4 linked regions of the Diceros bicornis minor genome follow. The protein of the gene in region 1 interacts with the protein of each later gene in a biochemical or structural test. Links are inferred from orthologs where the notes say so. Each region holds a gene or a part of one and is shown on either strand. Other genes may lie near its edges. The genes, in order: CREBBP, FOXO4, ETS2 and ZNF106.

The links.
Region 2: the proteins of CREBBP (region 1) and FOXO4 form a complex in vitro, tested with the Homo sapiens proteins (2 studies listed by BioGRID). The link is inferred for Diceros bicornis minor from reciprocal best matches to the Homo sapiens genes CREBBP and FOXO4.
Region 3: the proteins of CREBBP (region 1) and ETS2 form a complex in vitro, tested with the Homo sapiens proteins (2 studies listed by BioGRID, with this or other methods). The link is inferred for Diceros bicornis minor from reciprocal best matches to the Homo sapiens genes CREBBP and ETS2.
Region 4: of the proteins of CREBBP (region 1) and ZNF106, one has a biochemical effect on the other in vitro, tested with the Homo sapiens proteins (2 studies listed by BioGRID, with this or other methods). The link is inferred for Diceros bicornis minor from reciprocal best matches to the Homo sapiens genes CREBBP and ZNF106.

Annotation. Positions count from the first base shown.
Region 1 is NC_080765.1:44,566,457-44,573,507, forward strand, and holds the start of CREBBP (CREB-binding protein), read left to right. Parts: upstream 1-4,044; 5' UTR 4,045-4,259; coding exon 4,260-4,344; intron 4,345-7,051. UniProt on the Homo sapiens protein: Acetylates histones, giving a specific tag for transcriptional activation. Mediates acetylation of histone H3 at 'Lys-18' and 'Lys-27' (H3K18ac and H3K27ac, respectively).
Region 2 is NC_080781.1:64,409,363-64,417,346, reverse strand, and holds the start of FOXO4 (forkhead box protein O4), read right to left. Parts: upstream 3,001-7,984; 5' UTR 2,517-3,000; coding exon 2,064-2,516; intron 1-2,063. UniProt on the Homo sapiens protein: Transcription factor involved in the regulation of the insulin signaling pathway. Binds to insulin-response elements (IREs) and can activate transcription of IGFBP1.
Region 3 is NC_080766.1:38,840,020-38,846,915, forward strand, and holds the start of ETS2 (protein C-ets-2), read left to right. Parts: upstream 1-3,885; 5' UTR 3,886-4,034; intron 4,035-6,896. UniProt on the Homo sapiens protein: Transcription factor activating transcription. Binds specifically the DNA GGAA/T core motif (Ets-binding site or EBS) in gene promoters and stimulates transcription.
Region 4 is NC_080744.1:40,078,398-40,085,876, reverse strand, and holds the start of ZNF106 (zinc finger protein 106), read left to right. Parts: upstream 1-4,459; 5' UTR 4,460-4,576; intron 4,577-7,479. UniProt on the Homo sapiens protein: RNA-binding protein. Specifically binds to 5'-GGGGCC-3' sequence repeats in RNA. Essential for maintenance of peripheral motor neuron and skeletal muscle function.

The sequences.
Region 1 (7,051 bases):
TCATCTGGTTTCTGTCTCTGTGGATTTGCCTCTTCTGGACATTTTCTAGAAATGGAATCACACAATATGTGGTCTTGGATGGCTGTTTTCCTTCAGTGAGCATCACATTTTTAAGGTTCATCCATGTCATAGCATGTACTTCATTCCTTGTATGGCTGAATAATATTCCATTGTGTGGATATAACACGTCTATCCATTCATCAGCTGATGGATTCAAATGGACTTCTCTCAGGAAATCTTTCCTGATTTATCTCCACCTCTTGCTCCTCTGCTGGTCCCTCCTCGCCTCATTCTCTCGGCCCCCGAGCATTCTGTAAATGGGGATTCATTGATCTGAGACTAGAGACTAGAAAGAGCAGGCAGCCTTAGGTTTGCAACCCAGGTGAGCCTCTTAGTGACTGAGCGACTTGCCCTCCTCTGGGCCTCATTTCCTCATCTATAAAATGAGGACAATATTTCCTTCCAGGATTGTGGGAAATGCAGATCCAAGTGTGGCAGAGTGTCCTGGCACACAGAAGGCACTCAACAGTGCCAGGTCCCTTTCATCTGTTTTGACCCTGATCCTCAGCTAAGAGTGTGCGGGCAGGAATCATCCTTCCTTTCTTGCTATTCCCCCATCAATGTCTGAGCACAGCGTTCTTGGATGAGAGTCACACCAAGGGGAGAAGAAACAGGAAAGAAAAAGCAGATATCAGGAAATACCAGCAGAACTGATCAAAATGATACAAATGAGACAGAAAAGGGACAGCAGAGCAGGTATGTTTTAGGGTTGAGCAGGAAGAACATGAGGTTTCGAGTTTGTAGACCTGTGTTTCAGGCCTGGCCCTGACATGTCCAGGTCATTTACCTCTGAGTCATTGGGACTGGGTCTCCTCAGTTTCTCCCTTTGTAAAAGTGGACATGACATGTGCCATAGCTGCCCACTGATGGGGGATGGTGTGAGCTCATGTGCACATGGCTGTGTAAACCATTTACCGAGGGACCCCGAGGGCCAGGTGGTGACCCAAGGCAGGCTTCGGTGACCTGACACATCGTCCTCTCTGTGGGAGTGGCATGGAGCTGCCTTAGGCTGGAACTCACCCTTCTCAGTGACCTGGAGGCCTCTAGGACTTAGGGAGACCTGACATTGTTCATTCACTCATTGATTCATCAAATTTTACAAACCTACTTCTTTTTTTGTTGTGAGGAGGACTAGCCCTGAGCTAACATCCGATGCCAATCTTCCCCTTTTTTCTTGAGGAAGATTGGCCCTGAGCTAACATCTGTGCCCATCTTCCTCTACTTTATATGGGACGCCGCCACAGCATGGCCCGACAAGTGGTGCGTTGGTGCGCGCCCGGGATCCGAACCTGTGAACCCCAGGCAGCGGAAGTGGAGCGTGCGCTCCCAACCACTTGCGCTCCCAACTGCTTGCGCCAACAGGCTGGCCCCAAACCTACTTCTTGAGGGGCACTGTACTATGTCTAAGATATGGCCCTTGCCCTCAAGGGGCCCACAGACTGGTGGTGACAGGGACACACACGGCACATTCAGATACAAGGTGCTGCCAGCCCTGTGTTACTCTATGACTTGATACATTTCCCGCCTTCCTGTGCAAACTGGCTTCTTGAATACTTCTGTTTATGATTTCCAGGGCTTGCCATTTGGCCTCCTTGAATATACAGGGATTTCTTTCTTTATTCTTTGCCCTCAGGAGATTCTCAAGGGATATTTGATGGATAAATAAAAACATGAATGGATTGAAAAAAAAGTGACAAAGTGTGAGGTGTGCCCTCACAGAGGTCTGTCCAGAATGCTGTGGGAGTCCTGAAGTGGGCTAGGAGGGCTTCCTGCAGTAGGTGACATTTGAACTGGGTCCTGGAGGATGAGTCAGAGTTTTCCAGGCATATGTATTCTCAGTACAGGGAACAGCATTTGCAAAAGCATAAAAAGGCCTGAATGATAAGAACTTCCCAGTGGCTGAGTGGTTGTGGAGGAGTGATGGTGGAGTGAGGGATGGAAAGTGGAAGAGACAGATGCTGGGAAGGAGGGGTGGGCAGTACAAGATTTTGAACAATATAGATAAATACAAAAAAGTAGAAAGATCACTCAGTCTTGACACTTGAAGACAATCACTCTTTTGGTATATAAACAGACTATACATATGGTTTTTTTTTTTAAACAGACTATATATATATAGTCTTTTTTTCCCCATGTGTAGGAGCTATTTGTTTTAAACAGAGTTCTTTCTCTCTTTTTCCAGGAAGTTAACTCTGGTGCTGCATGGGGAGAAACGTGGAGCGCAAGGGACACTGAAGTTGGAAGCTGCCACCGTAGCCACCCGGGCGATGCCGGACGACTCGGGTGTAGTGGGATGGGGAGGAAGGGCCGTTTCCCAGGTAGAGGACGTGGGGAGCCTGGGTGCGAGGTGATGGAGGGAGGGAGGAGTCCGCACTCCCGTACAGGTTTCTTGCTTAGGAACCGGGTTGCTGGTGATACCTTTCAGATAAGGACTTAGGGATGAAGCTCCGGCACGCTTTGAGGAGCAGATAACAAGCTGAGATGTGAACATCTTAGAGTTTTGTGGAACCGTCTTGCGGGGAGTGGCCATGCGAGCCGATCTCCCCGGGACCCACACCTGTCTGGGGCACCTGCGGGGGGCGGAGCAGGAGCGCGCGCAGGCCAGCGAGGCCCTCCGCGCTGACGTAAGGGGCCCTCTAGGCCCGGCGCAGGTGACCGCGCCCCAGCCCGGGGGGCAGCGCTCGCCCCTTCCCCTTGCAGGAGAGGGTGTCGGGCCTGGGGGCCCCATCGCATGGGGCTGGTGAACAGGGGCTCAGGAGTCCTGCGTCCCCTACACTTCACTTGAGGGGGAGTATTCGAATCCCGGCCCTGCCACTTCCTGCCTCAGTTTCCCCATCTCCACACGCTCGCAGGCGGACCCGAGGGCGGTCTGTGACCTGCAGAGGACACGACACGTCGCTGGCCTCCGGCGAGGGGAAGTGGCCAGGCCGGGCCCGGGTCGCCTCCGACGTCGCTAGCAGGGACATGAGGAGCTGGGACCGGGCAGAGTCGCCCCCGAGGGACGGGGGGGCCCAGCCGGCACCGACTCCGCGCCTGGAGCCCGGCCCCCGGCCAGGCCGCCGCCCATGGCCCTCGCCGGGCCCCGCAGCCCAGTCGCCGTCAGAACAAAAGTGACGGCCGGGTTGGGCGCTCAGGGTCTCGCAGGCCGGGCTACCGCCCGGCCGCCCCACGCACAGCGGTCGCGCCTTCGGCCCTTTCCGCCCGAGCGCGCTCGGCTCTTTCCGCCGCGGCCGGCGCAGGTGGAGGGGGCGGGGCGGGGGCCGTGCGTGGTGACGCCGCGGGGGGGTGACGCACCGGCGTGCCCCGCCCCCTCCCCCTCCCCGTTCAGGCTCTGGAAAGAGAAGAAAAAAAACTTTCTTTTTTTTTTAATTGAGGAATCAACAGCCGCCATCTTGTCGCGGACCCGACCGGGGCTTCGAGCGCGATCTACTCGGCCCCGCCGGTCCCGGGCCCCACAACCGCCCGCGCACCCCGCTCCGCCCGGCCGGCCCGCTCCGCCCGGCCCTCGGCGCCCGCTCCGGCGGCCCCGCTCGCCTCTCGGCTCGGCCTCCCGGAGCCGCGGCGGCGGCGGCGGCGGCGGCGGCGGCAGCGGCGGCGGCGGAACGGGGGGTGGGGGGGCCGCGGCGGCGGCGCCCCCGCTTCGCGCATTGTTTTTCCTCGCGGCGGCGGCGGCGGCGGCGGCGGCGGGCCGCGGGCGGGGAGCGGAGCCCGGAGCCCCCGGGTCGTCGGGCCGCGAGCGAATTAATTAAGTGGGGCGCGGGGGGGGAGCGAGGCGGCGGCGCGGCGGCGGCACCATGTTCCCGGGAACTGCCTGAGCCGCCCGGCCGGGCGCCGTCGCTGCCAGCCGGGCCCGGGGCGGCGGCCGGGCCGCCAGGGCGCCCCCGCCGCGGAGTGTCGCGCTCGGGAGGCGGGCAGGGGATGAGGGGGCCGCGGCCGGCGGCGGCGGCGGCGGCGGCGGCCGGGGGCGGGCGGTGAGCGCTGCGGGGCGCTGTTGCTGTGGCTGAGATTTGGCCGCCGCCTCCCCCACCCGGCCCTGCGCCCTCCCTCTCCCTCGGCGCTCGCTGGCTCGCGGCTCGCGGCTCCAGGCTCGCGCTCGCTGCTCTCCCCTCGCAGCCGGCCGGGGCCGGCGCCGACCCCCGCCCCGGAGCCTCGCCGGCCCCGCCGCCCGCGCTCGGGGCTGTTTTCGCGAGCAGGTGAAAATGGCCGAGAACTTGCTGGACGGACCGCCCAACCCCAAACGAGCCAAACTCAGCTCGCCCGGCTTCTCGGCGAATGACAGCACAGGTGAGGAGGAGGCCGGGCGGGGGGCAGGGGCCCCGGGGGTCGCTGTCGGCCCCCCGGGAGGGGAGTGCCTGCGGAGACCCGAACTCGGCGGCGGGCGTGCGGAACCCCCGAAGCGGAGGCCGGCGCAGCCCCTTCCCGGGACCCCCGCCTGAGAGGGGGAAGTTTGCGGGGAGACTGTCGTGGGGCCCGAGTGGGGCGGCACATGCCCGGTGCACTCGGATTTCTTGGAGAGCCTCGCGGGGAGACCGAGTGGTACTTGCAGGGAGAAAAGTAAAGTGGAGCGTGGCGATTCCATCCGCCTCCTTCTGCCGCCGTGTGTCGACACACGCGTGGCCGGGCGTCTGGAGGGATGACAGCGGAGGGTACGTTTGATGGTTAGAGACAGAAAGTGCAGCCGAAAGGGGACCCGAAGGGTTTTCTGAATTGGTAACACATCCACTACGCGGCGGCCAGAAGACACTCAGAGCAGCAGCCCGCCTGTGAGTTACGACTTAGAAGTTTCTTGGAATGTTCTCCTTGGAAAAATGCTTAGTAGCTAATTGAAAGGCTCTTGTTGTTTGGTCACCTAAGTCATGCCATTTTTCACCACCCCAAACTTTGTTAGCAAGATGTCATAAGAGTGGCTGTAGTGTGTGTAATTTCACGTGTATAACTTGAAAAGAAAGTTAAATAGATTCGTTTGGGTTGCAGTCGCCGTTTGAGCTCCTGTTGCTTTTACAGTGTAGGTGTACAAAAAATTATGTTAAGGAATGTAGTGATTACGAGTTTTCAAAAAAAAATTTAGCAGGATAGTGAATGTCATCCTTTTCTTCATTAAACAGTTTCCCTGAAAACTTTCTTAGGTAATCATATCAGTTGCCTAAGAGAAATATTTTAGTTTTCTATTCATTTAGTAATTCTGGCTTCTTCTGGGCTGGTTCATGGTAGCATTATGAACAAGTTGTATTTCCTCTTTTAGAGCTCTCCTTTGCAGTAAAAACTTGTGCGCTGCTGCGAACAATTCGGTCTCCAGCGCAGCTTGCATTTCTTCAGTACAGTCTTGTAGTAGCAGCATCTGAAAATTTAATGAATGGGCCCAAATTGAATTATATTCCTGCAGCAGTGCCTTCAGATTTGTAGTAGACACAGCTGTTCAGCTCGTGCAAATATTTGTATGACTGACCACTAGCGTACTCCTATGAGTAGTCTAAAAATGTTTCTACTGTTGAAACAAAACTTGAATTTTTTGACTTAAGTTTTAATACAGTTCCTTGAATATTAATGTAGAAGTGAGAGAAACTTTTTTTTTTACAAATCGATCATAAAGAGATTCTTGTCTAGTTAAAATAAAGTTTGTTAAACGGGGGAGGAGTAAATAAAGCTCATGATATATGAAAGTCACTAATACTCTTTTTTTGAAAACTAATGGAGTTGAGTTTGTTAATTTGGTAAAATCAACTTATCTGAAGTGAGAAATATGGAAACAACCATGATGTAAATGTCCTCTTACTGCAGAACAGATCTCCATTGCTTCGTTAATCTTGCCATGTTTGAGTGAAAAGTCTTTAATCAAATGAAACATAGATCATACCAGGCAAGTTCAGCTTTGAAACCTGTCCTCTGAACTGGTCACTTTTGAATGGCTTTGCAGTTTGCTCTTGTTGAGTGAGGTTACTGTAGCTTTTGAAAGAGGGACAAATTAGTAACACAGACTTAACGCAAAGGCTTGTCCAGCTGTATATCCAACTGTTTCCAAGATGGAGCCCAAAGGATGGCCTTTGGGTAGTTCTGTTATTGGATGGTCAGATATTTACTTAATGTGCTGCTAATCGCAACCAAGTTTATCAGAAAGGATTTTCCACCCTTGACCATTTTTTTCCCTTCCTTTACGATTTTAACCCTCGTAAGGCATGGGGGCTCTTTTACTTTTCCAAATGTGGAACAGAAAAGTCAGTTTTTAATAGTTCTGATTTAAATAATCCAAAGAATAAAATTCACGATCATATTTATGTCCCGTACTTGATTACATGTTCATCAACAACATGAGAGGGTTATTGTGAAAGGGTCTGTTAGTGTCTGTTAGGTCTGTTAGCAAAGAAAGGATCATGGTCGAGCACATTAAATAAGGTACAGCCTTGTCTCACGTAACTACTAGTCTAAGACAGAGATCTTAAGCGTGTATATTAAGCAAATAAAGAACTAAAGGATTAAATTTCATACAGTCAAAGGAGTGAAGGCATTTGGTTGTATGGGAAGGTAAGGAAAGACCTGGGAATAAAGTTCTTAAGAGACTCAGCTTTGTTTTACTGAGGGAATGTGTGTTTGAGGCTTCGAGGAGAAAATTGGGCCAGGTGGCACAAGGTGTGTTCCCTGCTCATGTGATAAAATTTGAGGGAGGGGAGCTCCGTGCATGGGAAGAGCTGAGGGGTGAGGAGGAGGAGGCCTTGCTGGCCTGATAAACAAGAGTGACTTGGACTGCCACTATGCGGTACACATCTGTGGGGACTGGCCTGTGGAGCCATGGGTGTCATTTAGATGAGGCTAGGGAGGCTGGTAGTGGGCGGAGAGGAGAACCTGACGTTGGGGAGCTTACCAGCCAGGGTGCTGCCTACAGGGCACTTGCAGTCTAGCTGGCTGGGGGAGTGTGGATGTGCATAAAATACTCCAGTGAGACAAGGTGGCATCTCCAAGTGATAAATGCCATTGCCACCTATGACAGATGGGAGAG
Region 2 (7,984 bases), on another chromosome or scaffold:
AGGAGCCCAGAAAGGCTTGGAACAACTAGGAAGCTGAGGCTATAGACAGTCAGAAATCACTTCATGTGTTTCTAGATAAGGAGACCCTTTGCCTAGGAAAAGATGCTTAAGTAGCTTCTTGTTCCAGGGCTCTTTAGCCAAAGAACTCTTAGTCTCCCTGGGACCATGCAATAATGGCACTCCAACTACTCTGGCTGCATTAATACTCAGTTCCTTCAAAAAAAAATCACACTTGTCCATCCAACCTGGGCTCTTAGTAACCGAGGACCACAGTGACTTCTGGCACCAAGATTTCCCCCCTTTTTGTCCTCTAACTCTGGGTCTACTGAGAAGGCCCATTCCTTTCCCTACTACTAAATACACATGAGGCCCATTTGTTCATCCCCTCTTCTTTAGGCCTTGGGACTAGTACACGGTACAGCCTCCTACCTGGAGAGGTCAGCTCCCTAGAAGCCTCTAATTCTTACCTGTTGGAAGCGGGGTGACTGCTAATTGCTCCCCAAGCCACCTAAACTAAGCTTTCTTGTTCTAAGTTAGTGCCGCCCCCTGGTGGGGTGGTAGTAACCTTGGCCCATCACTAGGAAAGCCAGTTCAGGAGTGAGGCTTCCCCTCCTGGGGTGGAGTGAGGATGAGGAGTGGGGGTGAGAGCCTTGGAGACCCCAGGCTCATCCTGATTTGGCTTTGCCATCATTTCAATGAAGAGAATTTGGCAGCATGGACTAGCAGAAAGAGCATATGATTTATAGTTAGACCTGAGTTCAAGTCCTTATTGTACTGATATCAGGTGAGTTTCCTAACTTTTCTATACCAGGCTCCTAATATGTAAAATGTGGAATCTCAGAATTGCCGTGAAGATTAATAAAATAAAAAATTTAAAAACTACTTTGTAAACTAAAGAGCCCCATATAAGTGTAAATTAGAAGGAGAGACTACACTCCCACAGCAAAACTAACAACTCATGATTATTTCTCCTACCCTGGAAAATGAACCTAAGGGAAAAGAAAAACAGCTGTGTAGGCTGGGTCCAAGGAGGGGAGCTCTTTATGAGCTGCGACTGTGGCGTGGCAGTCTACCCAGAAATAGTGCCAAGGGTCTCAGTCAGCTGTCCTGTTTTCTGTTCTGCCCAACCCCTAGGATACTGCAGATCTGATCCCTTGATACCTACGGGAAGAACCTCTGCTCACTCAACCCTCTGTACTTCCTTGTATGCTGACCTCACCACCTATGAGGATACAAGATACATCCATAGGGGTTGAAGCTCTCCAGTTTCGTGAATAGAGCCCCATATTTCTCAGGACACATTTTCAGAGCATCTAGTGAGATCTTTTCTCACAGTTTCTTCATGGAAGGCCAAGGGAACTCCCAACCTTGTGCTATGAAGTCAGAGCCCTATCTCTTTTTTTCATGACTAACATTCCTCAACAGTAAAAGAAAACTTTCCTCCCAAACTTGGATAGCTCCTTACAAGGGAGAGTTTCTTGGCATTATAGGGTAAACTGAGCAGGTAGCAGTTCACAGCCTTTTTTTCTTGGTGCATAAGATCAGCTACCTTACCCCATGAAGATCACTCTTCTTCTCTTTTTCCACTCCACTCCCTCTTCTTGGGTACAACAGTACCTCTACCCTGAGGTGTTGGGAGGTAAGCGGGGAATCCAAGTAATCCCACAGGAATGGGAGAAAAGGTGTTGGGGTGGGAGGCGGGGGAGGAGGGCAAGCTAGGCTCCTGTGGGGAATCCACACAGTTCCTGCTGTACATAGGATAAAGACTTCTCTGTGGGAATAAGTGTTTGGGGCAGCCCAAGCCAAAGTGCTGGGAGTGTTGAGCAGTGAGCAGAGAATTCAATTTTCTCCAGGGCAAGGACAGTGTCTTATTCATCTGTGACACTCCAGCATCAAGCACTGAGCGTGGCATATATTATTTCCTAAGCAAATGTTGGTCTAATTGACGACTGAAGGTGAATCTCTGAGGTGAGGGTGTAAAAGGGGCCCCAGAGTAGAAGTAAGGAGGCTAGGGGGCCCAGGGGCAGATAGTATTGGGATGGAGGTAAGGGGGTCATAGTTACCTTCCATCCTGCTGAGCTGTTGCTGTCACCCTTGTCCTTGAAGTAGGGCACAGTGCGGACCATCCACTCATAGATCTGGGCGAGTGTCAGTCGCTTCTCTGGGGCACTTTCAATGGCCTGGCTGATGAGTTCTGCATATGACTGATTTCCCCAGGCATTCCGGCGGGAGCCTCCCTTCCGAGGACCTGTTACAGCCCCCAGGATCCCAGGCTGGGGGCCCCCTGCCGGCTCTGGGAGCCGGGAGGGCAACAGGATCGGCTCTGAGCGCCCCTCCGTGTGTACCTTCTCCCCCAGACCTGGCTCCACCTCGGGCGGCTCGGACGGCTCGGTAGCAAGCTCTGGTCGGGGAAGGGGCCAGGTGCAGGAGCGGGGACGGCTCTGGGGTTCGAAGTCGGGATCGAGGTCTATGATCACGGCAGCCTCTGTGGCTGAATTCTCATTCTCTGGATCCATACGTGGAGTTGGACCTCCGCCGCTCAGCGTTCAGAGGAGCCTGCCACAGTCCCTTACGATGCCTCCCCCCAGGGGGGAAGCACTAAGGGCCAGGAGGCACATTCCTGCCAGTCCTCAGAAAGTCGCGAACTTCCCCCTCGCCCCAAGACGCCAGCCCCCAAGCTGTCCCTTCCACACAGTTCTCGGATCCTCTTCTCGACTACAGCCTGCAGCCTCAAGAGCTCTTTCCGAGACACCACCTGTAACCTCCGCCTAGCGAAGACACTTTTTCTCCAACCTCTCACTCAGCTTCCTGCTCTTTTAAACCTGAGGCACGGTATCCCCTCATACATTGCGCTCCCATCACCGAACGTCTCTTGAGCCGCAGTTCCCTCTCCCTTTTAAGTTGCTGCCCCCCGGACACTCCTCCCAAATTTCCTCCACCCGGATCACTGCCCTCCCCCACGCCCCGCTCCCCCGCGTCACTTGCCCCTCCCCTGACTCCCCCGCCCTCCGCCTCTTCCCTTCCCTCCACTCTTGATAAGGTCCACGTCCCCGCAGCCCCTGGCCCTCTTATTCCCGCACCAATTCCCCTATCAACCCCCCCACCCCCCGCCCCCCGGGTTTCCCTTTTGTTTTGCTCCAAGCAGCAGCCCCCGCCTCACGTCTCTGTTTACCACTCGCCGGGGCAGCCATCTGCGCACGCGCCTGGAGAGGCAGTTGGGAAACTGAGTTCTTCAGTCGTGCCACCCGGTCAGGCCTGAGGACTACATTTCCCGTCCTACTTCGCGGCCAGGAGCCCGATAAGGGCGGCAGGAGAGCGGCGTGGCAGGATATAGGGAGGTGGAACTTTAGTTATTAGAGATCTTCGCGGACTCTTTTTCTTTTTTTAAAAATCATTTTCCTCCTTTCCCCGCTTCCCACCTCCTCTCTTGTGATTCAGGGTCGCCTAGGTGACTGTGTTGAGAGATGCTAGACCTTTCCCTCTTTCAGTTAAAAGAGGGCAAAAGGAAAAAAAATGTGGTATCTACAAGAAACAAAACTGAGAACCAAAGAACTGATTAGAAAAGAGGCTGTATGCATGTTGGGGAGTTGAGTGCTTGTGTAACATAAACAAATGGTTAGCTGATGGTAGCATCTCCCTCAGCCCCTTCAACCTCCCATACGCAGTTCACACTGACAGTGCAGTCGCAGACCAGTTTTCTCCACTGGGTCTTCTGGCCTCCCCTTAAATGTTGATATTCTCTGGGTTCCCGTCTTAGGCAGCTTCACTTCTCATTCAACAGGTCCCAAACTGAACTCGTTTATCTATTCCTGCACCCACACCCCTATCCTCTGGCTACCCTTATCTCTGAATTTGGTTAATGGTTGTCCTGATCTACCCAATCTTCCAAGCTAAACTTACCCTTCACCTTTTCATCTCCCTAACTTCCCACATCCGAATCCCAGTTCAAGACCTTATTTATCACTGGATTAAGTTGCAATATCATCTTTTTTTAAAATAATTTTATTTATTTTTTTTTCCCCCAAAGCCCCAGTAGATAGTTGTATGCCATAGCTGCACATCCTTCCAGTCGCTGTACGTGGGACACAGCCTCAGCATGGCCAGACAAGCGGCGCGTCGGTGCACCTGGGATCCGAACCCGGGCTACCAGCAGCGGAGCGCGTGCACTTAACTACTAAGCCACGGGGCCATCCCTGCAATATCATCTTAATCGGACCTCCTGCCATCAATCTTTTCCCCACTGCAGTTTATGTTCTATGCTGCCAACAAAGTTACCTTTCTAAGAAACTCTGCTCATAACAATAACTAACTAAAATTTATGGAGCACTTATTATGGGCCAGGCACTGTGCTGATTGTTTTGCATACATTAGCTCCTCTACTTCTCAAATCAACCCTGCGAGGTAGGTGCCACTATTATCCCCATTTTATAGATGATGACACTAATGCTCAGAGATTTAGTGACTTGCCCAAAGTCACACAGCTAGGAGGCAGGAGAACTGGGATCATATCACTTATATGTGATCATATAATTTCCCTGCTTAAAACTGCCTTTGATTTTCCCCATTGCCTATGTGATAAAGTTCAAACTCCCTAGCAAGGCATACAGGTCTCCTCAGATTCAGACCACTTCCCACCTTTCCTGCTTCATCTTTCACTGGGCGCACTAAGTTCCAATGAGTCAGAGTTTCACACTATTTCCTGGAAATACCATACCCTTTTATGCCTTTGCCTGCACATCCTGGGATGTCCTCCCTCTCGTCATCCCCTCCCCAAGTCTCTTATTCTGGAACACTCCTATTTAACCATTCCTGTCTCCCTCAGGTGCAGTTAGTTCTCCCTTTTCTGCATTCCCAACCACTTTGTGCAGGCTTATGTTCTATAGCACAGACCATGTTGTATTGTCATTATTTGTTTACATGTATGTCTCTTCTACTAAACTGTGAACTCCTTGAGGGCAGAGACAAGTTTTGTGTATCTCTGTGACCCCAGCTTGGAGTCACAGAGGAGACATTCAATAAATGTTGGTCGAATGAATGGGATCAGGAATCAAATGACATTGCACTTGTACATTCGACAACTTTTTAATAAATGTATCATATGTATTTTCTGCCTGGCCATGTCCCAATTTTCCCTTTAGACAGCAAGCTCCTAGGGGTAGGGACTGTAATTTAACTTGTCTGTACAGTGCCTAGCATTATACCATTTGCAGTGTTGCTTGATACGTGCTCTGTGATGACCAGACCTTCTCCCTGTCAGGAAGGATATCCATACAACCTGGGATTTTTCAAAGGCAGCAGCACATTGGGCCTCCAAAATGATGTTAGTCTGCTTACGGTAACAGAACAAACTTGGTTCTACATATTCCTGCCTCCCTCTACTCCAACATACATTTGTCCTCCATCTGTCATGTAGAGAGTAAACAAAAGACCGTGTATTCCTACCTGAGGTCCAGACTCGAGAGATGGGACATAGTTGCTCACAATGCCTGGCAAACATTTCCTGCATATGCCTCTTCCTCCTGCAGCACAGCCTGGAGTACTTGGTAGGTGCCACAAGAGTGGGGAATTTGGTAGAAGAGAGAGCCTGGTGGGCACTAGGTCACAAGGAGCTCTCTTCTAACTGAAACAGATGTGGTGGCAGATCATGCAGAGCTGCTGAGGCAGGGAAATGGCAGGGTGGGGCAGGCACCTGTCCTGGATTCAGTTATATCTTGCATTGTCTCTCTTTGTGCATTTGTTTGAAAAGGGCCACTTTTCCACCAACTCATGTCCATCGCCTCTTTAAATTTCCAATTCAAAGCTCAAAACTTACGTACTCTTGGAAACTTTCCCCAACTAGCCCAACCTGACAGATCACTTACCTACTTTGCATCTCCTGTACCTCTATGAACTCAGTTTGTATTCTTTAATTTTGTGCTTGTGGTTACATGGCTTTTCATTTCAGGAGGGCATGTTGTCTCCCCCTTATTACTGTGGGAGTGTTAGAATATACATTAGTCAAGAGACAGAGTTAGCAATGTGGCCTTGGAAAATAGAAGAGACACTGGTCAGGAAAGAAGACTAACAGGAGACCCCCAGAAAGCCACTGTAGTCATAAATTATGAACAGATATGGCAGGATATGGGGGGGTGGGGCACAGGCCTTTTTCCCAGTTGCAACCTCTGAGTTTGTGGTCTCAACTAGCTCCCCATTCAACACTTGTTTTTTTCCTCTCGAAGGTCATAGGGGTTTGGCTCTCTTGCCTCTTTCATTGCCACTGCCCACTCTTCTACCTGGGTGCCACCCCCCAAGCCTGCTGCCAAACCGGCTTTATTAATTTGAATTGAGATAGACATTTCCCCGCTTCTTTCTTACCCTGCCCAGCTCTGAAAAACACACAACCTCCACCTGGGGTTTGTATAGGATTTTTGCTAGTGACTACAGGGAAAGATGCAGGAGTTAACAAAAATAACAATGAGAAAGTTCAAGGAATCTCAGAAAGCACCACCTCTGCTTGTCCTTGGTCTTCACAGATGGGTATGGAATGTACATGTTTTTGGTAGCCCTCTTCCATAAGTCCTGCCTTATGTGTTTCTGTGAAAGATTTCTAGTCCTTCTCTTAGAAGCCTGTACCACTCTCCCAACCCTGCTGTTGTTTTAAAAAATCTTTTAAGTTAATAAACATTTTGTAAGAGCCTACTATTTTCCAAACACCAGGCTAGATGCTTTTACATAAAATGCACCTCAGACTAAAGTCCTCAGGTTTAGCCCCAAGAGGATTTGAGTTAGCACCACTACTGAGTTGGAGGCAACTATCATTCCTTTCTGGACCCTAAAAGTCAGTCTGATGTAGTGAAAAGCACTAGGTTGAGTCAGGAGAGCTGAGTCCTTGTCATAGCTCTGTCACTAAATAATTGAATAATGACAATAATTACACTACTATTAATAAGTAACATTTATGGGTTTTCATATGTGTTAGGCACTGTGCTAAGAGTTTTACATGGATTATCCGATTTAATCCACACAGTAAGCATGTAAGTTAAATGCTATTACTATTTTCATTTCACAGAAGAAAATGAGACCTAGAGAGGGTAAAGGAACCTACTTAAGGTCTGGAGTTGCTAAGTGGTAGAGCAGAGGTATAAATCCAGGCAGTCTTGACTCCAGAGCCTACACAAGTCAATTCACCTCTTCCGGCTTTGCAAAATGAGAATGTTGTATTGGATAACCTCTAAAATCCTATTTCCTATGATCTTCAACCAGACCCCAGATTGCCCTTTTGGCCGTAGGCTACCCTGAGCTTTCACTTCACACCCACACAAATTCGGTCCTGGCTCCCTGCAGGAACAAGGTCAAAAAGCTGCATCTCTCAGGTTTGGGGCTCGCCTGAACTGACCTTTGAGCCTCCTCTTTAACTCTTCCTGCAGGCCTCTATGGTTCCAACCTTTGAAAGTCCTACTGGCATGATATTTACTAGAATTATTAACCAAAGAGTTTCCAATACAAGAAAACGTGCTTATATTTTAAAGTTACGTGAAAAGAGCAGGATGCAATACTTTATGTGCCGTATGCTCATAATTTTATTTAAAACACATTGAGAAAAGATAGGAAATGCCAAAAAGTGTTAACAATTGTTATCTTTTTTCTTTTTACTTTCTTATATTTTTCCAATTTACTATGAATGTGTATAACTTTTAAACTGGGAAATATGCTTTATATTTTGCCTCTTTCTATAAGGGATTTGAGGCACTTTACCATAATAAGAGTACAAATGTCCTAAGATTATAGGAATAGAACATCAGGGGCCGGCCTGGTGGCATAGTGGTTAAGTTCCTGTGGTCCGCTTCGGCAGCCCAGGGTTTGCAGGTTCGAATCCCAGATGTGGACCTATGCACTGCTCATCAAGCCGTGCTGTGGTGGCGTCCCACATACAAAATAGAGGAAGATGGGCACAGATGTCAGCTCAGGGCCAATCTTCCTCACCAAAAAAAAAAGAAAGAAAGAA
Region 3 (6,896 bases), on another chromosome or scaffold:
ACCTTAAAGAAGAAGATAGACATTGCCTGCTCTTGCATAGTTTGTGACCACCCTGTCAGGAGGCGGGGAGCCTGCTAGATGACCCTAGGTCTGCCTGGGGTTCCTGGTACCTGTGCCACCAGCAGATGGGCAAGACTGGAGGGCCGGCTGGATAGGATACATGTTGTACGAATATTTGGAGCTGGGGGAAATGGGGGTTATAAAGTTTGACTTTATCTGTTTCTTGACCCCAACATGTATCAATGGAATAATTGCTACTTGCCAGACACCACCCAGCGACTGCAGGGTGAATGGTCAGCAAAGGAAACACAGGTGCAGAACATGCATGAATTAAACTATTTCTATCTCTAAGTATATTTTCTTCTCCCCCGGCCCCCACCTCCAGGATTTCCAAAGTCTCACATTTGTGTGTGATTTTTACAGTACCATGTACTACATTCTTACTTCTTCGAGGACAAGGACTAAGCCTTACTCATCTTGGTCTTCTCAACAGCTGACATTGTGTTTGCTGAATAAATGATATACCTCAGACCAAATGACCTCTGTTTAGTTTGCAACTGGAGACCACCTCGAACTGTGTGTTAACTATTGATTTGGATTTCAAGGTAAATACAGAGGTATTTCTAAGGAAATGTTTTTGCTGTTTTTTTTTTTTTTTACAGGATGACTTGATAAGCTAATCATTCTTAATAATTACGTCTGGATTCTAAAAAACTCTTTATCTGCATTTTACTCTCTGGACATTTAGTACTTATAATGCATACGTTATACTGTAATGTCCTCTTTCCTCCTCCCTTCTATGAGCTTCTCTCTTTCTTAAGGGAAAAGAGATTGCTCTTAAACTCAGCTTGACATGGTGCATCTGAGCATTTCACCCTGCATGCCTTCTGACTTCTAATTTCCTTCTAATACCTTCGACTTTTGATCTTGAAGCACAAGGGCGGTACTTTTATTAGGTTTAATTTACTGTAAAGCTCGGTGTTCCTTGTGAATCAAGCCATAATAGTCAATGAATAATCGCCAGCTTCAGCCAGGCCAGGTTTTAGTTCTGCTGAGTAACTAGGAAACCGACTAATAACAGGAAGGCTTAAAAATGTTAGAAACCCCAACATCGCCCCAAAACTAAGATAAGCCATTTTATCACGAGCATGGGACCACCCAAGCGTAGAGGGACATCAGCCACCACGTAGGTCCCCAGGCCAGGGGGCTGCTTGGATGAGCCCAGGCCTCCTCAGAAGGGGAGGCAGGGAGTGACAGGGGCTTGCGTGGGGGACAAGAGCCCAGGCTGCTGTGTGACCCTGGCTTCCTCTGCCTGGCCCCGTGCATCTTTCAGCTCTGCCATTTGTGCTTCTGGCCAGACCATTCTCAACAGGCTTTCACACATTTCCATCTGAGAGAGTAGGGATGATTTTTTTTTCATGCATATAATATTTTTTTCAAAGGGTTTTTCATAAAATGATCCCAGAGGGAAGATTGCAATAAAACCTTGATCGCTCTATCATTGTGAGCCTCTCTTCCATGGCTCAATATTCTGATAAATCCTTTACATTTTCGGTTCCATGTCAATGGTCATCACAGCCTTATGACCTAGGTTCCGTAATCACCTTTTCTTCTACAGAGAGAACTGACCCCAGGTTTGAGTTCGAGCAGAAGAAAAATTGACTGTCAGGAAGGGGTTGTCTCCAAACCCCTGTGCTCTCTTCTTTTGACCTCTTTCTGCTTGGACATGTTGGAAACGGCCCAGCATGAGCAAAGCACCCCTCCCAACCCCCAGCCTGCACCAGCCCCTCAAGTAGGAGTGATGCCATCCCAAAGAGTCAGTGGACCTCAATGACTCAGGGAGCCCCTGAGCATCCCGCAGTGAACACCCATGGGCACGGGAGCAGGTGCTGTGGACAAGACCATCCCACTTGAGCGACTGAACTTGACCTAATGCAAGCGTCTCAGACACTGTGAAGGGCTGTGTGAGAAGCCTGGGGGAAAAGACCTTCTATTAGCTGAAACTGCAGCCCAGATGAGTTACTATTTTCTGCTACAGTTAAAAAAAAAAGTACTCTTCACGATTCCATGGTAACTTAGTATGGATCTGTATTTCATTTGTGAAACTCCTTCTTGACCTATCTATGATTTTTGATCCGGGCCTGAACAGACACAGAGAAGCCATCAGAATCAATTCCACCTCCAGGAAACATTAACCCCCTGCAAGCGCTCCCGGTTGTTTCAGCTGCATAGACCCAGCCTCTGACTCATACAACGGTGACACCGGAGACCCTCAGGCACCTAGAAACATTAACGTGCAATGTTATCTCAATTATCGGGATCGCGCCGGATTTCGGGTTGCCATGGAAACCAGGAACCTTGGTAACAAGGAAGTGAGGCAGTTCCTCTCCTTCACGGCTCCGCAGTCCCTGAGCTGCGCCAACTTTCAGTCCCACCGCCATGCCTAAGCTGAGCTATTTGATTTTATGCCCACTTTCAGGAATCTAATAAATTTTCCTCTCAAATATTGAGAATCTGACCTGAATCTGAATAGGAAATGCACACATTTCTAGCCATGCCTTCAAGCATTTTCTGCTAAAAATGGAAACCGGCACTGTGGGTGGCAGTTTCCCATGGTTGGGAGCCTGATAAAATCGAGTTTCAACCCTGGATTTCCCATTTATATGTTTTATGACCCAGCAAGTTATTTACCCTGAGGTTCAATTCCCTCATATTTATTTATTTTTTTTAATTTATTTATTTTTTTATTATTTTGTGTGTGTGTGTATGTGTTAGGAAGATCAGCCCTGAGCTAACATCCATGCTGAATCCTCCTCTTTTTGCTGAGGAAGACCGGCTCTGAGCTAACATCTATTGCCAATCCTCCTCCTTTTTTTGCCCCCAAAGCCCCAGTAGATAGTTGTATGTCATAGTTGCACATCCTTCTAGTTGCTGTATGGGGGACGCGGCCTCAGCATGGCCGGAGAAGCGGTGCGTCGCTGCGTGCCGGATCAGAACCTGGGCCGCCAGTAGTGGAGTGCATGCACTTAACCGCTAAGCCACGGGCCGGCAGAACTCCCTCATATTTAAAGTGAGAACAATAACGCCTGGGAGAATTATCATCAAGATTAGCCCAGAGAAGCCCACTCCAGGCTGGTTTCTATTAAGGCACCGCTCAACTCTAGGGGGTGCCACGCACCCGGAGGCTGTAGGAATGCGGTCTCCCGGAGCAGGGTGGACCCCTCGCCCAAGCAAAGGTGGGCAAAGGGCCCGGTTCGTACATTTATCATCTCATTTAGAGTCTTTTCCTGATAGAGTGATCAGAAATCATAAGCCCAGGAGGCGACCCAAGAATGGGGCCAGAATAAGCCCCTTATTTCCCAAGCCCTGCGGCCACTCGGTGCCACCAGCACCACCACACCGTTCCTGCCGAATCTGAGAGGCACGTTTGGTGTTAAAGCCTCAGGACAAGGGGAGGAGACCGCATGCTCCAAGAAGAGACTCTCCGCCGACCTCCCGGGACCCACGATCGCACAGGGCGCCAGGCCTCCGAGTCCCCAGGGGCACAGCGTTCCTGGAACAGCAGGCCAGGGACAGAGCCGTGTGACAGCGGGCGCGGAGCTAGGTCCCGGCCGGAAGCAGCCGGCTCCGCCCCCCCGCTCCCCTCCCCTCCCCTCCTCCACCTCTCCTCTCTCCCCTCCCCTCCTCCTCCTCTCGCTCCCTCCCCTCCTCTTTCCTCCCCTCCCCGCTCTCTTTTCCCCTGCCCCTCAGCTCCTCCTCCCTCCCCTCTGTCGTCTCGCCTCCCTCCTCCCCCTGCTCCTGAAGAGCCCGCCGCGAAGGGGACAGGCCGGTTACTTCCTCCAGCGACGGCGCGGAGCGCAGCGTAGCCGCAGCCCCGAGCGCCCGGAGCCGCCCGCCCGCGTCCCGGCGTCCCGGAGCGCCCCTGCCCGCGCGCCCTCGGCCCCGCGCCCCGCCGCGCTCGCCCTCGCCTTCGCCCGGCGCGCCCCGTGGAGCCCGGACCGGGAGCAGCCGCCGGCCCTGCCCGAAGCGGCGCGGTAAGAGCGGGATCCGGGGCGGGCGGGCCGGCCGAGGTGCCAGCCGGCCAGGCGCGGGCGAGGGGGTCCGCGGGGACCCAGAACCCGGGCGGGGGAGGTGGGTAGCGCCGAGGTCCGGATCCCCGGACGCAGCTGGGGGCAAGGCGGAGTGGCGGCTACTCCTAGGATTCGGGAGTCGCGCGTCCGGGTTCCGTTCCGCTCCAGGTGGCCCGGGGCAGGGCGCGGGGTGGGCCCGGCCGTGACGCGCGGAGCCGGCCCGGACCCCCGCGAACTTGGGCCGCGGCCCCGGAGTCGCCGAGCCGGCTGGGGCGGGCGGGGCGCGCTTGCTCGTTTCACTTGCTTTTGTTTTTAAAAAGAAACGCGGGCCTGGTGGGGGCCTCCTGCCAGTGGGTGCCCCGCGGACCTGATTTCGCACGGGGGCTGGGGGACGCAGGAGAGGGTGTCTGAGGGTCCCCGGCGCGCCCGGGTTTGCTGGTGACTTACTGGAGCGCGCCGGGCCCGGGTGGATCTGGGGCGCCCGGCGCCTAAAACACCTGAGAGGCTGCGGCTCGCCAAAAACGCGCGGGGCCTCCGCTCACCTGCTCGGCCATGTCCTGGGCCCGGCCGGGCGGCGGGCGAGGGAGGCGCCCTGAGGGTGAGCTGGGACTTCTGGATCGGGGCCCCTCGGTCCTGCGAGGCGAGCATGAGGAGCCTGTCGGAAATGGAGATGTGGATGCGCAGGGCTGCCTTTATTTTCCCGTTCTTAAAGCATTTTGAACGAAGGCATAACAGTGAGCGTTTGTGCGTGTGTAGGGTTTTATTTTATGTTTTTAAGCACGAGACTTTTTTATATTGGCCTGTATTCAATTTCAGGGTAGCCTAAAATAGTAGTTGACGTACTGCTTATTTAGAAAGTAAAGAAGTGAGCAGTCCCCTTTGGAGATAGGGGTAATTTATTTTAATTCACCAGTAAGAGATTATGTTTATTCCGGACAATGGAAGCGCCTGTTCACTCTCTACCTGGCCGCACCACCACCAGTCAGGGAGATAAATCTCCAAGTGAAGGTTTATTAAAATTATGAGTAATATCACAGTAGAGTAAATGTTAGCCCCGTGCGTCCTGCAGGGAAATATTGAAACACTCATTTATGGACTTAGTCATTCCTCTGTCTAAATTGATAACTTTCAAAGGAAAAAGCAAAGCAACCCTCAAAAATGCATTTCAGGTTTGTTTTTGTTTTCCAAATTTACCTAAATACAAACATAATCTCACATAAGCGATCACTTGTTCTAATAAGGATACAGTTGTCTGGCAAGTTCTTCTTGTTTTAAAATTTAACAATTCTCAGCCCTTATATTTCTGCCATTTTTTCTTTTTTTGTTCCAAAGCAACACCAAAAGGATCCAAATCTGAAATTGATTCATGTGAGAAACTTGGCCTGTCTGCCACCTTAACGAACCGTGATGAGTGAAATAAGTGAACTTAAATTTGGTTAGTGCCGTCTGCCTGAAACCGTTGGTAGAACACTTTGATTCTACGTGTTTTTTACGAAACAAATTAAAAGCTGGACAACAGAAGAATTCTATTCTGTAGCTAGTAATTACAGCTCTCTATGTGGGAGGGGTAGACTGCCTTTTCTCCTGGTATTTGTCCACAAAAACCTGACAAAGCTTTTCCACCTCCTTCGGCATCCATTCTCTGCCCATCTCTGTGAGGCTGGAAAGCATAGAATAAAGTCAGCAAGCTGGCTGCAAACAGGATGCAGAGAAAGTGCTGTCCTACTGCGCTCTGGATGGGTGATTGGCAACAGTGAAGATGTTTTTTCATTTTGGTCTTCTGTTGCAGGCTTGTGTATTTAATCGACAGGTAATAGGACCTAGTTCATCCAGACAAATGACATGAAGCTCTAAATTAAGGAGCATTTCACATGGTGAAGAGGAGTGAGGCGGGGCCTGCTCTAATCATATCTATATGCTATCTCTGCTCTGTAGTGATGTGGGGGAAGGGCCCATTCCTTACCTTTCAGGTTGTCCTGGCATGTGGAGGAGCTCAGGATTAGGGCCATACTCCACAGGGATTTGGTCTCACTCTGCCCCGAGGAGCCCCCGCAGTAGCTGTGTGATCCTGGGCAAGTTACCAGAGATCTCTGGGCCTCCGTTACCTCACTGTAAGATGGTATAACATCCACCTGTCAGGGTTGTCAAGGAGGTGGGAATGGGTGACCCCCCAGCTTGGGTTTAGCTCTTAGGGAGCAGGATTCTGTCAGGGCAGCCAACAGTAGTAGTGCAGAGTGATTCTTGATCACCAAGTGGAGGTTCTGAGCAAATGTGGCCTCTTGTGATCCAGGACAACCCCTCTCCTGCCCTCCCCGAATAGGGCTGTTATTTATTGCCACTGCTTTCCAGTGTCTCCTGGCCACCATGATGGTTACCCACAGTGAGGGTTTTAAGAGCCCTCTCCAATGCCTCTGGACTCCCTCTGCGGCAGAAACTCTCCTCCCATGCTGCCTCTCTAGCCAAGGGGTGTGTGTGTGTGTGTGTGTGTGTGTGTGTGTGTGTGTGTGTGTGTGCGCGCGCGCGCGCGCGCGCGCTTGCGTTCTTGGGAGTTCTGGTTTAGCCATACTGTTGATGATAGCGAAAAAACAAGAAAGCACAAACTCAGCCTGGTTACGGGAAAATATGCTGTTTGCCACCTCCAGTAAGTTCCATCAATTGCACAATATTTTAATTACTCAAAGTTCTTAGTTGTAAGAGGTGGGAGCACCCATTGGAGACCACGGGGGTGGGCAATTATGGGTTACCCCGTAAGGCTTCCTTATAGGCCTTCAGTTCCGTGGCCGGGAAGCCCCCTTTCTCACTTATTAATATATAACCTACCCAGCC
Region 4 (7,479 bases), on another chromosome or scaffold:
TTCATTTTAAAAATGAGTAGATTAGACCCAAAACAGTATTTTCCAAAGGGCAGAGCAACAACAAGAGATGATTTTAGCTGTTATATAAGCAATAGTTATGTACTTAATAGTTATGTATTTATTATAATGTGTACTAGAAAAAATATTATAAAATACACAAAACTAGAAAGTATTATAAAATACAAGACCAGGATTTCGTAGATTATCACTTTGGAAGAGGGTAATGTTCAAAAAAAGTCTATTAAAAATACGAAGTAAAATAACACAGACGATCCTCTAAAAGGCAAAATTTATGATGGTGGTATGGTTCATGATAAATGAAGTACTGACAGCTGTTCCACGAGCAACAGGGCCTGTTTTGTTGTTTGTTTGCTTTCTTCTTGATTTAAGCTTGTGTTCTGAATGATTAGAAAAAATGTGACCTTTAGTTAAGTGAGCTTGTTAGTATACTTAAGTTCTTTTAGAGTAAAAGAAACAAAGGCTAAGATCCATACAGATATTCTACTGTTCATAGGAAACAGTGTAATAAGGTTAAGAAAATAATAGCACAATAAGTCAGTCCTATTCTGGAACTAAGATAACAGCAACTTTCTAGTGCATATCCACATACCACAAGCACTTAAAAAAAAAAAAAGCCCTAGCAACAATGATAAATATTTAAGCTGTAGGCTAAGTTATATGATCATTTTATTTACTTTCACATGACCTGTCAAAAGAGAATGGTAATGTGAGGTGTTTCTCCTGTTTCTCCTAATATTTGCTAGTATTTATACGAATGCGGTCTTTTTCATTACCTCTTGCCAAAGGAACAAATGACAAGGATCACTGAATGCCTTAGGCATCAACTTTGCTGGTGGCAAAAATATTAATTTTTAAAAATTTTACTATGAGACATTTTAAGATTAGATCTCAGAGTATTCTAGCTAATGATGCCTCATGCATTTCAAGTGTGGTATTTTCCAGGCTACGGAAGAACGTGAGAGAACCAAGTAAAACAGGTAAGATTGTACTTTCCTAGAAAGCATGGACTCGCCAATGCCATGAACCTCAGAGATCTTCTTCAGACAACTAATTCACAGTTATCTGATCACTGTGGTCACCATACAGTCTATTAATCCCGACCACAGCAAACCTGTGGAGGTCGGGGGTGAGGGAGTGAGAGTTTACCTCCGCTCGGTTTCAAGAAAGGGTCCAGAGAACCACCATCCCGCCACCCTGCCTGTGCCGGCCTCTCGACAGTCTCCTGGCGCCTCGCGTCCTCGCTCCGGGCCCGACCTGCCCAGTCCGAGCCACAGCCCCGCTCCTCCCCTAAAGCCCGATCCTACCAACTTTTCAACCGTCATGATATACTCTTTCTCCTTCGGATACGATCCCAACCTTCACCTCGGCCAGCTCCCTCAGCCCCACTCCTGGAGACTCACCACGCAGTTCGGCCACTCCTCTGCGGCCTCGGCAGCTCGGACACCCCCAGACTGGACTGGGACCTGCCCCTTCTTGCGCCTGCGCACGCCGGCCTCACACGCCTGCGCACTTCCCCGGCGCCGCGGGTGCGGCCACACCCCTGCAGCTGGAGCCAATCACGGTGCGGGGGGTTTAAATCTCCCTGCCACGCAGGCGAGGAGCCTGGGGACTCACCCGTTAACCGGATAATTCGAGTCCCGCTTGTAGGTGGGAAGTGTTCAAGCAACAAACATTTACATGTACCGTACTGAGGGCAAACCGCCAGGCACTGTGCGGGATGAACACTGAGGAAAAGAAAGCGAATAGAATGCCTTCCCTGCCCTCTAGGGTCTTTTGATCTGTCTAGACTGGGAGATAGATATGTAAATAAATTATAGTGGATAGAATATAGTGCATGGCATATAGAAAATCCGAGGCGCCGCTGGCGCACAGTGAACACAGTGCCTTATTCTTAGGGGTGGCTGGATGGGTTCCCGGGGGAAATGACTTTTGAGTCATGAAGGATAAGTAGGAGTTCCCCCGGAAGTCCGGGAGGGAGAGAGACTATTTTCCAGACTGTGAGAACAGCGTATGCCAAGAAGAACATAGCGCCTTCTGGAAATTACTTGTAGTTCATCCTGGTTAGAGGTTTAGAGCTCATCGTATATCTCCAGGTGAAGGGGGAATAAGCTTTAAAAAGTTGGCAATTGCCAGATCTTGGGAGGTCTTGCATTTTTGGACTAGTGACCCTGCACTTTATACTGTGATCACTGAGAGCTACTGAAGGGTTTTAAGCAGGTCTGGGAACTCTTCCAGGCACCTCTAAAAATAAAGCACAGTGCTGGGGGGGAAAAATGCTTTAAAGAGGGAATATTCTATTCCTAAGGGGTCAAGGAAGATGAAGCCTGAGAAATATCTTTTGAATTTAGTAACACAGAGATCATTAGTGATCTTAGCGAAAGCTATCTGTTGGGATGAAGTTGAAAAATAGATTGCAGTAGTTTGGAGAGAGAGGAGATACAGAAATGGGGACAGGTTGTAGAAAGCTTTTGGAAAGTTTGGCCTTGAGGGTAGGAGGGAAAGGGATGACAAGGGGTCAAAGTTTTTTGTTTCTATTTCTTGGATTTTTTGTTAGAATTAAGGCAGGAGAAACTTAAGCATGATAGGGAATATGCAACTGAGAAAAAACAGTTGAATAAAGAGAAGTGCTAGTTAGTAGGTAAAGATCTTCAGAGGGTAAGAATGGAGGCAATCCAGAGCACTGATGGGGGGACAGTCTTAGAAGAGAGATCTTCTCAATTATAATGAGAGGAAGTATGTGTCTGTAAGTTTGTATGTTTAGTAACAGAAAGTTAAAGAAGTTCTCATCTGATCACCTCTGTTTTCTCTGTGAAGTAGGAGATGAGGTCATCTGCTGATAGAAAAGGAGTTGGGAATTTTAAGAAAGTGGAGAAGATTTGGAATGTTGTAGAAAGTGATAGAGCAAATTGACCAGAGGAAAGTAGTAGAACTGGTAAGCCATGTTGAGGGCCTGTATAAGATTGGTAAAAATGAACTCACCAGTTTCTGCCCTCCTGCATAGATTTCTCAAGCAGTAATCACTTCTTGAGGTAGAAGTGGAGAAAATGTATGGTTGAGTTCATTTAGCGTTGGGATGGTCACTGGCATAATGCCATGGTTCTCAACCAGGGACATTTTCCTTTTTTGGTCTCCAGAAGACATTTGGCAATGTCTGGAGACATTTTGATTATCAAGATGGTGGGTGGGTGGGGATGTAAGGGGGCACTACAGGCATCTGGTGTCCAGGGATGCTGATAAATAGCCTAAAATGCACAGGAGAGCACAGGAACTATCTCCAAAATGTCAATAGTGCCAAGGCAAGGTTGAGAAATCATGATCTAGGATTACCTTGACGCTCACCAACAGCTGACCTTGGTCTTCTACAAGCTTTTCGTTGGACTATGGTCCAGAGCTTATAGGGTAAAGCAGTTCTTCCATTGCTTGCCTTTAAAGGAGAGTAGAATGAGCAGCATACCTCAGACCTTGAGTGTTTCAAGGACTTGTGATGTCACAAACACAGAATGGGAATAGTTCCTCAATCCTCTAGAAGCAAATCTGGATTTACACAGAGATGAAGGGAGCTGCTTACTTTGATCTGAGGCATTGAAGGTCTTGTTAAACATAGATATTATTAGAAGTTCAACAATATAGGAGGAGTAACACTTCACAAATTATCAACCTTAATGTAATTTGGTTTATCTCACTAGTTTTAGTCACTAAAATAAGATCCCGAGAGAATGGGTATGGGCTAAGTTTAATATATATAATTAAGATAAATTAATATTAATAATTAATATAATATAAATACATTAAGTATTAATAAGAATGTAATTATTAGTATTAATGGATTATCTGCTCTTTGATAGGCACCATTATGGATAGGCACTTGACCTATGTTATGTCATTTAATCCTAGCAACACCTTGAGAGATATCCTAATTTTAACTCTGAGGAAAGTGAGGTTCCAAGAAAATTTGTAATTTACACAAAGTCACAAAGTACTAGTATCCAGGTCAAAAAAATTGGAACTCAGGTCTGTGTGTTCTAAAGCTCTTGCACCTTCCATTAAGCTTCAGTAAATTTTAGAAGGAAGGAGTGGTTGGCAATGTAGCGGCAACAGTTGCCACCGCCTAAAGGGAATGGTGGAGACAGGAAGAGACTAAGAGCAAGAGCGAGGCCCGGAAAGAGAAAGAGAATGAAGAAGGAACCGGGAGGCTGCTCACAGGAGCGTGCAGCGCAGCGGACTAACTTCGCAAGCCTGCCTGCCTTTTGTCTTCTCCCATTCTTTTAGAGTACATAAACCCTTTTCCCCCTGTGTCCGTTGTTCACTTTCGTGAGTTCAAATAAAGCTAGATTATTGAGAAAGGCGGACCTCAAAGGAAAAAAAAAAAGAGAGGGGAGCTCTACGGCGGCGGTGTGCGCTTGCGCGCTGGCGGCGGCGGCGGCAGCGGAGCCCGGAGGGGAGCCGGTTCGGAGCGGGCCGCCGGGCCCCAAACCGAGGGGGCGTCTGGGGCGTCAGGGAGCTCCCTCGTCTGGGCCTCGGCGGCCTGATGGAGTAAGAGGGGTCGCCTGTGAGTGTGAGTATCGAGGGGCCGAGCTGCGTTGAGGCGTATCGGAGCCCGAGGGTCCTGGTGGTCTGCCCCTTAGGGAGGTTTGGGGCTGCAGGACGCGGCCGGATCTCTGCTCCTGCAGGCCGCGGTGCAGGGGCAACCCGGTCGTCCCCTCTCCCCGAGCCGCGCGGGTTTACGGGCAGGCGGTGCTTTTGGCTTCGCGGTACAGATTCTCGCGGGGGCGTTCCGGCTCTGCTCCCAGCCGGAAACGTGGCGGCAGAGCCTTGACCTTTAGGGGAGGCCGCTGACCTCCTTCGGCCTTTGGTGCCGCAGGGAGCCCATAGAGTCAGGGTGCTTAAAGGCCTACGGGTCTCCGGCCAGGAACACCTTTCGACCACTTGTGACTTACAGCCTCCGTTCTTTTTCCTTCTTCCGTCTTCTCTCCTTATGGGATGCGTCTTAATAATAGCTGTTAATTATGGAGCGCTTACTATGTGTCAATTTAGTATTTAGTCCGAATCTGGGTGCATAATTATGGAGAGGAAATGCTTTGCACCCCACTCCCCCTTCAATCTGCTCGATTTAATTATCTTTGAGAGTCAGAACCATCTTTTGAGATTAAGCTATCTTGTTGGGAAGTTTGAGATTTCCATGACTCTTAGCAATTTGGGACTGCCATCCTGGTTAAGGGAAGTTCTTCTCTTACCTACCAAGAGAGTGCTTTATCCACCATAATGGTTTATATCGAATTTACTCAAGCCAGAATAACTTTGGAGCACTTACTAAGAGCTTAGTACTGTGCTAAACCCTTTAGGAAATCTTATAATTAGTTTTAAGCTCTTTCTCAACTTTAGTCGTGAATCAAATAATGGAAGATAATATTTAGATTCAACTAGGATTTATTTAGCACCTACTTCACCTACCACAGATACACTCAGGTCTGTCACAAAAAATTAATGAGATATTGTAACGGAAGGCGGTTTTTTGGAGCACATTTTAGATGAGGTCGCTGAGAGTTTGATGGTAATTTGCTTAAGCTAGTTTAGCTAGGGTTAAGTAGTGAAATGCACATACAGTGCCAAAGCTAATCTTTTTGCTGCTACACCAAGTTAGATATTTCAAGCACTTCTGCTGAGAAGCAACTGCATTCCAATTACAGTTTGTAGAGAACTATTGAGTCTAGAAAGTGGTAGCAGCCTTTAAAGGTACTTACTAGATGGTTTTTGAAGAGAACTTCACAGTGGCTTGGAAGGAGGTAGAAAGTGTGAAGGAGTCTGATCAGGTTAGTTTGGAACCAATTGCTTTGATTAAAAGGAACATATTTAGAAAGGAAAAACTGTGAATTGTGATTGTTGTAGATCTAGGTTAGAGCACATGTAGTTTGAAGACTACTGTAGAAGAGAAGCAAGGAATAATGGTGGGTGCTAGCCGACTTGGTTCTGGGACCAGGAATGGCTCAGTGAGAAGTGTACATATTGTGTGTTTTGTAATTGCAGCATCTTAGTGGGAAGTTTAGGATGAATTTGTGTACCCAGTGATTAAGAGCACCTAAGCAGACAAGTTACAAATGAAAACTCCATTTGCACATCCAGCATGCTAAATCTCTAATTGAAACCTTACAGTCAATTCGTGTTTTTTCCTTTTTTATTTTTTTTGTCTGAAAGAGACTGTCAAGAAATGAGAGTTCCTGAGTGTTGCTCAGAAGAGGACTGGTTAAATAAATTATGCATCTGTTAGAAAGAATGAGCCAGCCTTCTGTGTGCAAATATTGAGTGAGTTCTAAGATATAGTAAGTGAAAAAAAGAAGTGCAAAAGAGAGTGTGCAGTTTGCATCCATTTGTGGTTTTTAAAAATATATGTATTTGCATATATATGCAAAGAATATCTGGAAGAATGCATAAACTGGTAACAGTGGCTGGAGGTGGAGGTGGCTAGGAAACGTGAGTGGGAGGGAAGTAATTTTCTCTGTAAGCTTTTCTGTTTTATTTTTTATTATTAAAACTTTTAAACATCCCGAAAAGTAGAGAAAATACCGTATTGAACTCCTGTAAATCGATCACTCAGATTTTATGATCTGTTAATATTTTGCATTATTTGCTTTTTTTTTTTTTAACATTTTATTTATTTTTTCCCCCCAAAGCCCCAGTAGATAGTTGTATGTCATAGCTGCACATCCTTCTAGTTGCTGTATGTGGGACGCAGCCTCAGCATGGCCAGAGAAGCGGTGCGTTGGTGCATGCCTGGGATCTGAACCCGGACCGCCAGTAGCGGAGCGCACGCACACCCAACCGCTAAGCCACGGGGCCGGCCCATGCATTATTTGCTTTTATTCCTGACATTTCACCCCTAAATACTTTGATGTCACTAATAAGAAGAACATCTTCCTGCATAACCCAATATCATAATCACACTGAACAACAATTCCTCTATATTATCTAATACCCAATCCTTAACAATGTCCCCAAATTGTCCTCCCCTTTTTTAACCATTTTTGACGCAATTCCCCCTCAAAATTTTTTTTTTATAATTTTATTTATTTATTTTCCCCCAAAGCCCCAGTAGATAGTTGTATGTCATAGTTGCACATTCTTCTAGTGCACATAGCTTCTAGTATGTGGGACGCGGCCTCAGCATGGCTGGAGAAGTGGTGTGTTGGTGCGCACCTGGGATCTGAACCCGGGCCGCCAGCAGCGGAGGGCGAACACTTAACCGCTAAGCCACAGGGCCGGCCCTCCCCTCAAAATTTATGAATTGCATTTGACTATTATGTCTCTTTAAGTCCTTTTTTTTTTTGGCGAGGAAGATTCGCCCTGAGCTAACATCCGTAGCCAATCCTCCTCTTTTTGCTGAGGAAGATTGGCCCTGGGCTAACATCAGTCCCCATCTTCCTCTGCTTTATATGTGGGACACCTGCCACAGCATGGCTTGGT